Drosophila melanogaster: one gene and its partner. The protein of the gene in region 1 purifies or fractionates together with the protein of each later gene. This does not show direct contact. Each region holds a gene or a part of one and is shown in the gene's direction. Other genes may lie near its edges. The genes, in order: l(2)efl and cher.

Evidence for each region.
Region 2: the proteins of l(2)efl (region 1) and cher purify together in Drosophila melanogaster (affinity purification with western blotting; one study listed by BioGRID). This does not show direct contact.

Annotation. Positions count from the first base shown.
Region 1 is NT_033778.4:23,684,068-23,687,593, reverse strand, and holds l(2)efl (lethal (2) essential for life), read left to right. Parts: upstream 1-2,050; 5' UTR 2,051-2,118; intron 2,119-2,208; exon of another isoform or gene 2,209-2,211; coding exon 2,212-2,599; intron 2,600-2,661; coding exon 2,662-2,837; 3' UTR 2,838-2,943; downstream 2,944-3,526. Other genes in the region: St3 (sulfotransferase 3), read right to left, coding at 75-162, 278-360, 430-561, 717-1,056, 3,083-3,220, 3,274-3,346, 3,408-3,526. UniProt on the Drosophila melanogaster protein: Vital role in embryonic development.
Region 2 is NT_033777.3:17,122,080-17,127,278, reverse strand, and holds the start of cher (cheerio), read left to right. Parts: upstream 1-1,889; 5' UTR 1,890-2,040; coding exon 2,041-2,066; intron 2,067-2,492; exon of another isoform or gene 2,493-2,520; coding exon of another isoform or gene 2,521-2,790; exon of another isoform or gene 2,791-2,802; intron 2,803-4,596; exon of another isoform or gene 4,597-4,866; coding exon of another isoform or gene 4,867-4,881; intron 4,882-5,191; exon of another isoform or gene 5,192-5,199. Other genes in the region: CG31269 (uncharacterized protein), read right to left, coding at 1-148; CG17477 (uncharacterized protein), read left to right, coding at 349-1,152; CG45079 (uncharacterized protein), read right to left, coding at 2,521-2,790. UniProt on the Drosophila melanogaster protein: Involved in the germline ring canal formation. May tether actin microfilament within the ovarian ring canal to the cell membrane. Contributes to actin microfilaments organization.

The DNA of each region.
Region 1 (3,526 bases):
TGTGTTTGACGTCACAGCGAGCTGTGTTGTTGGTGAGGGGGCGTGGCGGGGGCAAAGTCCGGAGCGGCTTCATCCTACGCCCCCCAATCCCAGTTCGGCTGGGTCCAAATATAACCGGTATCCGTCATCGAGCAGTAGGCATTGTAGTAGCGTCCCGGCGAGCTGGGAAATGCGAAAGTAATTGCATAAAACCGAATCGGGGGAAGCAAATCTAATTCGGTTTCGGTTTCCCCCGTCGCATTGCATTCCGGGCACTCGGCCGGAAACGGAAACTTACCGGCAGTAGGAGAACTGGGGGCACTTGCAGCGGAAGAGGCTCTGGAACTCCTCCTTACACACCTCGTTCCACCAGCAGGTGCGCTAGAATGCATTGGAAACGAAAGGGTTATCTCGCTGCCACTATGTACCACCTGTTATCCTTTGGGGCACCTCGGTCATGTAGCCGTGGACACTCTGATCCGAGTAGCTTCGCTTCGAGAGATGCGCCTGCACGGGGCAGAAGAGCAGTGTCACCACCAGAAGCAACAGTCGTGACGTCACGGGCAGCGAGTGGGGGGCGAACTGTAATGCAGCGAAGAAAGTGAAACCCAATCCGACATATAACCCCAAAGTGCCTCCGAAAGCACTACTACAACTACTTTCCACTGCATACTCGTGAACACCTTTAGGAGCTAGGAGTTGCACTCCTGTGATTTTTGTTTATTTTTGGAGCTCACCATCGTACAGCTTCCTCTGTTGACGTCTTGACTTATCCTCCGCTCCCAAAGTACAGTGAACACTTCACGTCCTGCGATGAATGTCGCCTGTTTTCCGTTTTTGGCCTCCCTTTGGGGCGGTGGCGTCGGCATCTCGGCATCTCGGCTGCCTTGCATAAGCATAAGTATTGGCCCCGTTCGCCCTCGGCTTTCAGCTTTCACTACTTTCACACGCACACACAGCCATCGAGTGCATGCACTGCTGCACTGGTGTTGGTGTGCTTTTGGCCCATTTCGAAGGGTGATTGCCTCACTGTTTGTTTGGCTGTGTTGGGTACACAATCCACTACAGGGCCAGTCCCTAAAATGTTAGGAACAGAAAACATATATGAGATTGTATGAAAATGTACCATTTTAACAGGTGCAGCAAATGAAAAGAAGATACTTGTTTGTAACTAGCTGAACTTGTACTTGCATCACTGGTAAATTAGATATGAACACTAGAGGGCGGCACTTTGTTTTTGATATAGTATATGTTCGCGATGATATATTTTAAGAAGTAAAACTTTATGATTGATGAGCTACTAATTCAAGCAAATTGCTGGTATAATTTTCAAAACAATGCTTGAAAATTCCTTTGTTTTGAGCGACGTCATCTCTTTCGTCTGATAGAAAACGCACGCGACATGACTCAGCAGAGGAAAAGCGAGAAATAAGAAAAAGTGGCAGATGCTTAAAATAGTTCATAAAGTCATTTAGTGGCCAAAGTATTTTTATATTAGCCGCGTCAAATCAACACTCTCAACAGGTAGAAAATTATGAAAATTCCTATATATCTAAAGAGTAAAGGGGGCGTAAAAGTGTCGAGAAATTCTTCTGGCATTTTCCAGAACACATTTTGCACTTTGGATTTTCGGTTTTCGAAAAAATATTATACAGAATAGAATTTGCATACAAACTGCGGGAATTTGTGTAGGCTTGCTTTTTAATACTCTGCATACATACATATGTGTGTTGCTTCTGGAACAAACAATCGGAAACACTATCATTTGAACTCCGAAAAAGGCCTGTCTGAGCAGTGACTAATGGAATCTTCTTTGGGTCACCATCATCGTAATCACAGGCTGAGTCTGAGTCTTCAAATCCCACGACTCCCACGGTAACAAACAAAACAGGCTGAAATCGCTCGCAGATTCGCACCAAAGATATGTGTTTGGCATATATAGGTTCAGAATGTTCTCTAGAATGACGCTCGTTTAAATTTAGATGGGAAATAAATTTTCATATTTTTAGCCCGTGGGGGAAGATGTAAACAATCTGTTGAGGGTATAAAATCGTGTGAGTGCTCGAGGAGCTCCATCAAAATCGCAGCAGCCGCGAATCGAAGCAGACGCGTTTATCCAAGTGAATTGAATCTAAAAAGGTACGAGGAAGGACCAAGCCAACGCGGAATTTATTGAACAGTGAAGAAGTGAAGTGATTAGCTCACTATCGTCTCGTTTCTTGATCAAAGCAGATGTCCGTAGTGCCACTGATGTTCCGTGACTGGTGGGATGAGCTCGACTTTCCAATGCGCACCTCGCGCCTCTTGGACCAGCACTTCGGTCAGGGACTGAAGAGGGATGACCTCATGTCCTCCGTGTGGAACTCCCGCCCCACAGTGCTGCGATCGGGATACCTGCGCCCCTGGCACACGAACAGCCTGCAGAAGCAGGAGTCCGGTTCCACCCTCAACATCGACAGCGAGAAGTTCGAGGTCATTCTGGATGTGCAGCAGTTCTCGCCATCCGAGATCACCGTCAAGGTGGCCGACAAGTTCGTCATCGTGGAGGGAAAGCATGAGGAGAAGCAGGACGAGCACGGATATGTCTCCCGCCAGTTCTCCAGACGCTACCAGCTGCCAAGTGAGTCCGAATTCCATCAACAAAATAGGAAGTATGCTAAACGTGTATGATCCTTCCACTAGGTGATGTCAACCCCGACACGGTCACATCGTCCCTCTCCTCCGATGGCCTGCTGACCATCAAGGCGCCAATGAAGGCGCTGCCTCCTCCGCAGACTGAACGCCTTGTGCAGATCACACAGACTGGTCCCTCCTCCAAGGAGGACAACGCCAAGAAGGTGGAGACCTCCACCGCCTAGGACTCAATCCTTTTGTACCGCCTTCAGTGTTAGTTAGTTTATGTCTACGTGTGCCTTATATATTGGACTCTACATATTTTATATCAATTAAAACGAATCTTTAGATAAACATTTGAAGAACAAGGTGTTTGGTAGGTCAAACAGCTTGACCTTGCTTTATTTGCTCTCCTCTCTCGCTGTTATTTACTTCCGAGCTAAACCAAAAGATACAACATTATCTTGATTATTCTCAATATGTATCTTACTGATCTTTCAGGAGCAGTAGTTCGTCCAAAGTCACACCGTTCTTCGCAAGAACCTCTTGTATCCGGACATTGGCCTTCTCAATTTGTTCGGGCTTCAATTCGTCCTTGTAGCCATTGACATCCCCACGTCTCACGAATCTAGAGGATTACAAGTGAATGGTTGTTCGGAAAACTATGGGACTTTCTCTTACGGGTGCATTTCTTTCCCAGCATTTTCGTGTTGAACTTGGGCCAACTCCCACAGATGATTCGTGGTGGGATTTTCTGAAAAGAAAATTCGTTTAGCTCAATAAGATCATTGTTTCGGCATAGGCTTCTTGCATACTCTTCATTTCCGCGAAGGACAAATGCTTTAGCAGTTTCTCCATTTGCTGATCGTTGATGGGTTTATTCAGAAATCTGGAGACATCGTTGATCACTCCTCGCAGATCTTTCTTCATCATT
Region 2 (5,199 bases), on another chromosome or scaffold:
GAGCGAAGCCATCCTCAGCTGCCTGACCACCGATGATCCGTTGATCCTTGTAAAACCGACCATCCGTTGAGTTTCCCTTGATTCGTATGGCTGTTATGGATACGAGTCCCGAAAGACCCAACAAAATAAGTAAAACCACTGCCGACATCTTGTTACTGGCCCTGGTCAGCTAATGAAGTTTTCAGTCGTACTTGCTGCCTTCTTGACCATTTATCGGAATCAGATAAAAAATCAGTTTATGGCGCGATTGTTGGAACCTTTGGTCAGGCCATTTTGACTTTCGTATAGTTCAATCAAAATCGCGAAGGGTAAAACCAGACTAGCTCAGTCCGCGATTGCATTTCAGCCATGTCGCTTGCACGTTTCCTATTTTATATTCTCGTGTTCAGTTCACTCTACTGTGACTTATTGGCATTGGAGCACTTCATTGTGGGTGGCCAGAATGCAGCTGAAGGAGATGCCCCCTACCAGGTGTCGCTCCAAACTCTTTTGGGTAGTCACCTATGCGGTGGTGCCATCATATCGGACCGATGGATAATTACGGCTGGTCACTGTGTCAAAGGATACCCGACTAGCAGACTTCAAGTGGCCACTGGTACAATTCGCTATGCGGAACCAGGAGCTGTTTATTACCCAGACGCCATCTACCTGCACTGCAACTATGACAGTCCCAAGTACCAGAATGATATTGGCCTGCTCCACCTGAACGAGAGCATTACCTTTAACGCACTAACTCAGGCGGTTGAACTACCCACATCCCCTTTTCCAAGAGGAGCTTCGGAGCTGGTTTTCACCGGATGGGGATCTCAGTCAGCGGCGGGGTCGTTGCCATCGCAGTTGCAGCGTGTCCAGCAGCAACACCTCAACTCCCCGGCTTGCGAGTCCATGATGTCTGCCTACGAGGATCTGGAACTGGGACCTTGCCATATTTGTGCTTATCGTCAGGCAAATATTGGAGCCTGCCACGGAGATTCTGGAGGTCCTCTAGTTCACCAGGGCACCCTGGTGGGCATACTCAACTTCTTTGTACCCTGCGCCCAGGGTGTGCCTGATATATTCATGAATATAATGTACTACCGCGACTGGATGCGACAAACGATGAGTGGCAATGGCAAATGTGCACAGGTCAACCAGCAGACAATAGATGGATAAAAACATTTGAACTCATTAAAGAACCTCAATTCATAATGTAATTCCTTAATGCTGTAAATAATTTATTAATTTATTAAGCCATTTAAACATAAGATAATTCCCAAACTGCCAGCCTTGTATCAAATATCACCAAACATGCACCAAAACCGCATAAAACCCGCACCAAAGCCGCACACAAATCGCCACCAAGCCGCCAAGAAGCCGCTAACAAATCGCGTGCAAGTCGAACTGAAAACGAAGGGCAGGATGTATCCTCTACGGGTCACTCGTAAGGGATCATTCTGTACGGGGCATCCTCTATTTTTTTAATTACTTGGGTTGCTGTAGTTCACTTGTTTTTTGGCGGGAGTGGTGAATTATTTTAATGTTTCTGGAGGCAAGTGATATTCTTGGCCCACAGCCAGGAGTCCGTTCAGTCGGACAGCCGGAATGTCTTAGTGATTCAGCCACCCGCCGTTTTCTGATTTATTTCGGAAGAAGAGAAGTGTCGCACTGGTCACACGTGTCGTCCTGATCTAATTGGTAGCAGGTAGACCCAGACAGACGTGGTCTTAGTCATGATTTGAGTTGTGAGAAAAATTTCGACACAAATCGCTCACGGCGCATGGAAATTCTGAAAATATTTCTATCGGCACTCGCTGTTCAGATGGGGGAAAAACAACCGGGAAAACTCTCAGTTGTGGGCTGTATCTTGGCATTTTGAAAAAGATTTTCAGTTGCTGTATTGACTTGGACGTGTGCGGTGCGGGCCTCGAATTTTCTTGGAATACGCGGCGTATACGCAATCCGTGAGCTATATGTAGACGCGTGTCTTGCTCATATTTTTATATATACAGCAATATATAACAAGTGAAATTTCGCAACTTGTGCAAAGTCGAGGAAAAAATTATGTTAAATCCAGTGAAAATGCCAAAGTATGTGAAATAATTTTCCCAATTAAGGCAAAACGACTTTGCAATGTATTTTACATTCTTACCAAGAGCGATGAATATTGCGCTAAAAGTATACGGCCAAAAAAAAACCGTTCGAATAAATATATTACCAAAAATAAAATAGAATATTTTGTGTTATGTGAATTTCAGTTTGAAATATTGCGTACAAGGCGTTGCCATTTCGTGATATATTCAGACGATGAAAGGCCTCTTTGCTGGATCCCAAAGAAAGAGCCATTAAATGTTCAGTTGTGAGAGCGTAAAGTGCATTTATCTGTCGGGCACCAGATGTTAATAGAGCCTCTGATCTTTATTTAGCCTCAATCGCATGCTCTGCCGCACCTGGGGTATCTGCGGGGTATAGTACCTAAGGGGACCCGGCATATGTATTTCCCAAATGATTTATTTAACTAGGCGTACACGTTTAAGTGATTTTTTAATAGAAGACATAAACCTTTTGTGCACCCTTTAGCAGATTTGTGCAGGGTCCTTGGGTTTTTCCATCACATGGAGACCTGGAAGTTGACGAAGCAACAGGTGCAGATGTTGTAGTATCCTCCCAGTAGGGATACGATGTGGTAGAATCTCCGTACGGAACCCAAGATGATGAGTATGGGTCCCAATAATATCCGGATGACGTAGTTGAGTCAGAGCAATAGCAGCCTGCCAAGACGCAAAACAACGCAAAGATCGTTAAGAACCTCATTTTAGCCGGCATTAATACAAACTAATAAACGATAGATACAATTTTATCAATTATATACTTCTTATCTTATTTATTTTCAATTGTTTAAAGAAATAATACCTTAAAACAGTTGGGCAAATGCCAAATATTCAATAAAAAGCCTAATATTTAACTAATATTTATTTTTCATATTCTATTGCCAAATTAATCACCAGCTGTTGTATCTAAAAATTTTGAAATTTTCAGAAGACTTTGTATGATTCATTTGAAAGCCCACTGTGCCATTGTTTATTATATTCCAATTATTTTCTAAATATCCAAGTAACAGTGCCGAATCGGGAAAAGCTAAATAAAGCGTTGGCACGTGAAATTACTTGACGGCAACGGGGCGTATGCGCAACAAGAGATTTTAACAGCCCAAGCAGCTGTTGAATTAATTCAAACGCCATGAATAATGATGGTCAATAAAAATAAAATTTGTTTAAAAGTACACGCGCTGCGCGTTCACACGGAAATTAAATAGGTTTTGAGAAATGTTAGTACAGAGTTGTTATGAATGGTGTTTCATATCTAAGCATAATTAGATCTTAAAATTCTTACTGGTTTTTTGAAGTTCATAAAAATGGTGACTATAGTTTAGTTTTCTTAATTTTATTTTACGGATTGATTTTGGTAGATCACTTAAGACTTCCTAAAACCCCTTTTAAGCGCCATGATAGCACTGAAATCAGATAATCAGAATAAAATTGTTTGATATATTTAGCGTGCTCTTGCTGCGTTTTATCTTCAAACGAGCATAAACATTCAAGCCAAATAAAATCGAGGAATTTATGACAGCTGATTTGGCCGGAGCTAGTTAGTCATCTCACAAGAATAAACAACATACAACTGTACATATGCTTTTCATTTAAGAGTTCTACGGGTTCTACGATCCCCCGATTTGGGATTCTTTATCAGCGCCTCGTGAGTCAAATGACGGGGAAATGCGGAATGTACTTGGGGCGACCGCCAGAGATGGCCAAAAGCCAATCATTTTTGCAGGAGGCACTTTCAATTGTGACCAGCAGCAGAGAAGATTGAAGCAAAAACATAAAACACAAAAGACGGCAACCAGTTCTATGAAAAGAATAACAACAAAATCAGCTGCGCGTCGAAAATCACATTTGTGATGAGTTGCAGGGGGTGGGGGGGGATTGCGGGGCAAGCGGTGGGTGGGGACTGGGGGGTCTCATGTGGTAGCGTCGCCAAAAACCTGCCAAACAGAGTCAAGAGTGCAGTCGACGTCGACTGCGACTGCGACTGCGACGCCGAGTCAACGTCACACGCAATACCAAAAACACAACACAAAACATGAAGCGAGATAAATATTGAACAAATTATGTATTGAAGACCTTTGACAGACGAGGATGCACTTTTAGAAACTTGTGAGAAATGTATTCATTTATTTAATATGATCTGAAAAAAATAAAAATACAAACCACAATTTTATATTTTATACTATAACTATGATATACATAATAATATTGTATTCTAATTTCATTTCCAACTTGAAATAATAATAGAAAAAATCGAAGGCAAACCTTTGTTATCTGTCAACCAGTAGGAGTGTGTAGAAAGTATCTTTTGGAATTATAACCTATAAGCGTTACCTAATATTTGCTTAGGGAGTTACTTAAGATGATCCCCGTCTGTATGATTTATCTGAGAAAATAATAATAAAGAAATTGAGCAATAAGCGGCGAGCATTTGGCTGCATAAAAACTTTGAGCAAGGAGGCGCACACAACTCAGTCGAGTTGAGAAATTGTCGCGGCCAGTACGAGTACGTGTAGCAAAGAACCCGAAAGCAACGCGCGCATTTCGTGCACACATTTTCAAAACCAAAAGAAAGAAATTCTGAAATTTGTTTACGAAAAAAAACGAAGGATTTGCCAGTCGTGTTTGTGTTGTGTTTTTTTAGAGAGAAACGTGCTCGCCACGCCAGGAATTGTGTAATTAGCGGGCCATCAAGTGTTCAGTATTAAGCACCCCCACTAAAGTATTACAACTCGAGATCATTCGACAGCGATCCCTATCAACCAACAGAAAAACCATCGATATGGCGTCCAGAAAAGTGAGTTTTTTTTTTTGTTGTTTTGTGGGCCTAGGGTGGCCCTTATCCGATCGGCAAACGTTGCATTTCACCCACACGATTTTCCACGATATATTCACGACGAAAATGGAGGACATGTGGTTCTCATTACCTGTTCATAAAAACTAAATATTTGTCAATTTATTTTTAGTCCAATGGGCGGTCGAAATTTGCTCACTTGCGCCTTCGCTGTGCAAATGTTGGGTGTAATTTTAGTTTCAAATAAATTCAAATTAATTAAAATGGAAGTGCAAATTTATTTAGCATTTCATTGGCGGCGTTCGTCGACGCTGATTCATG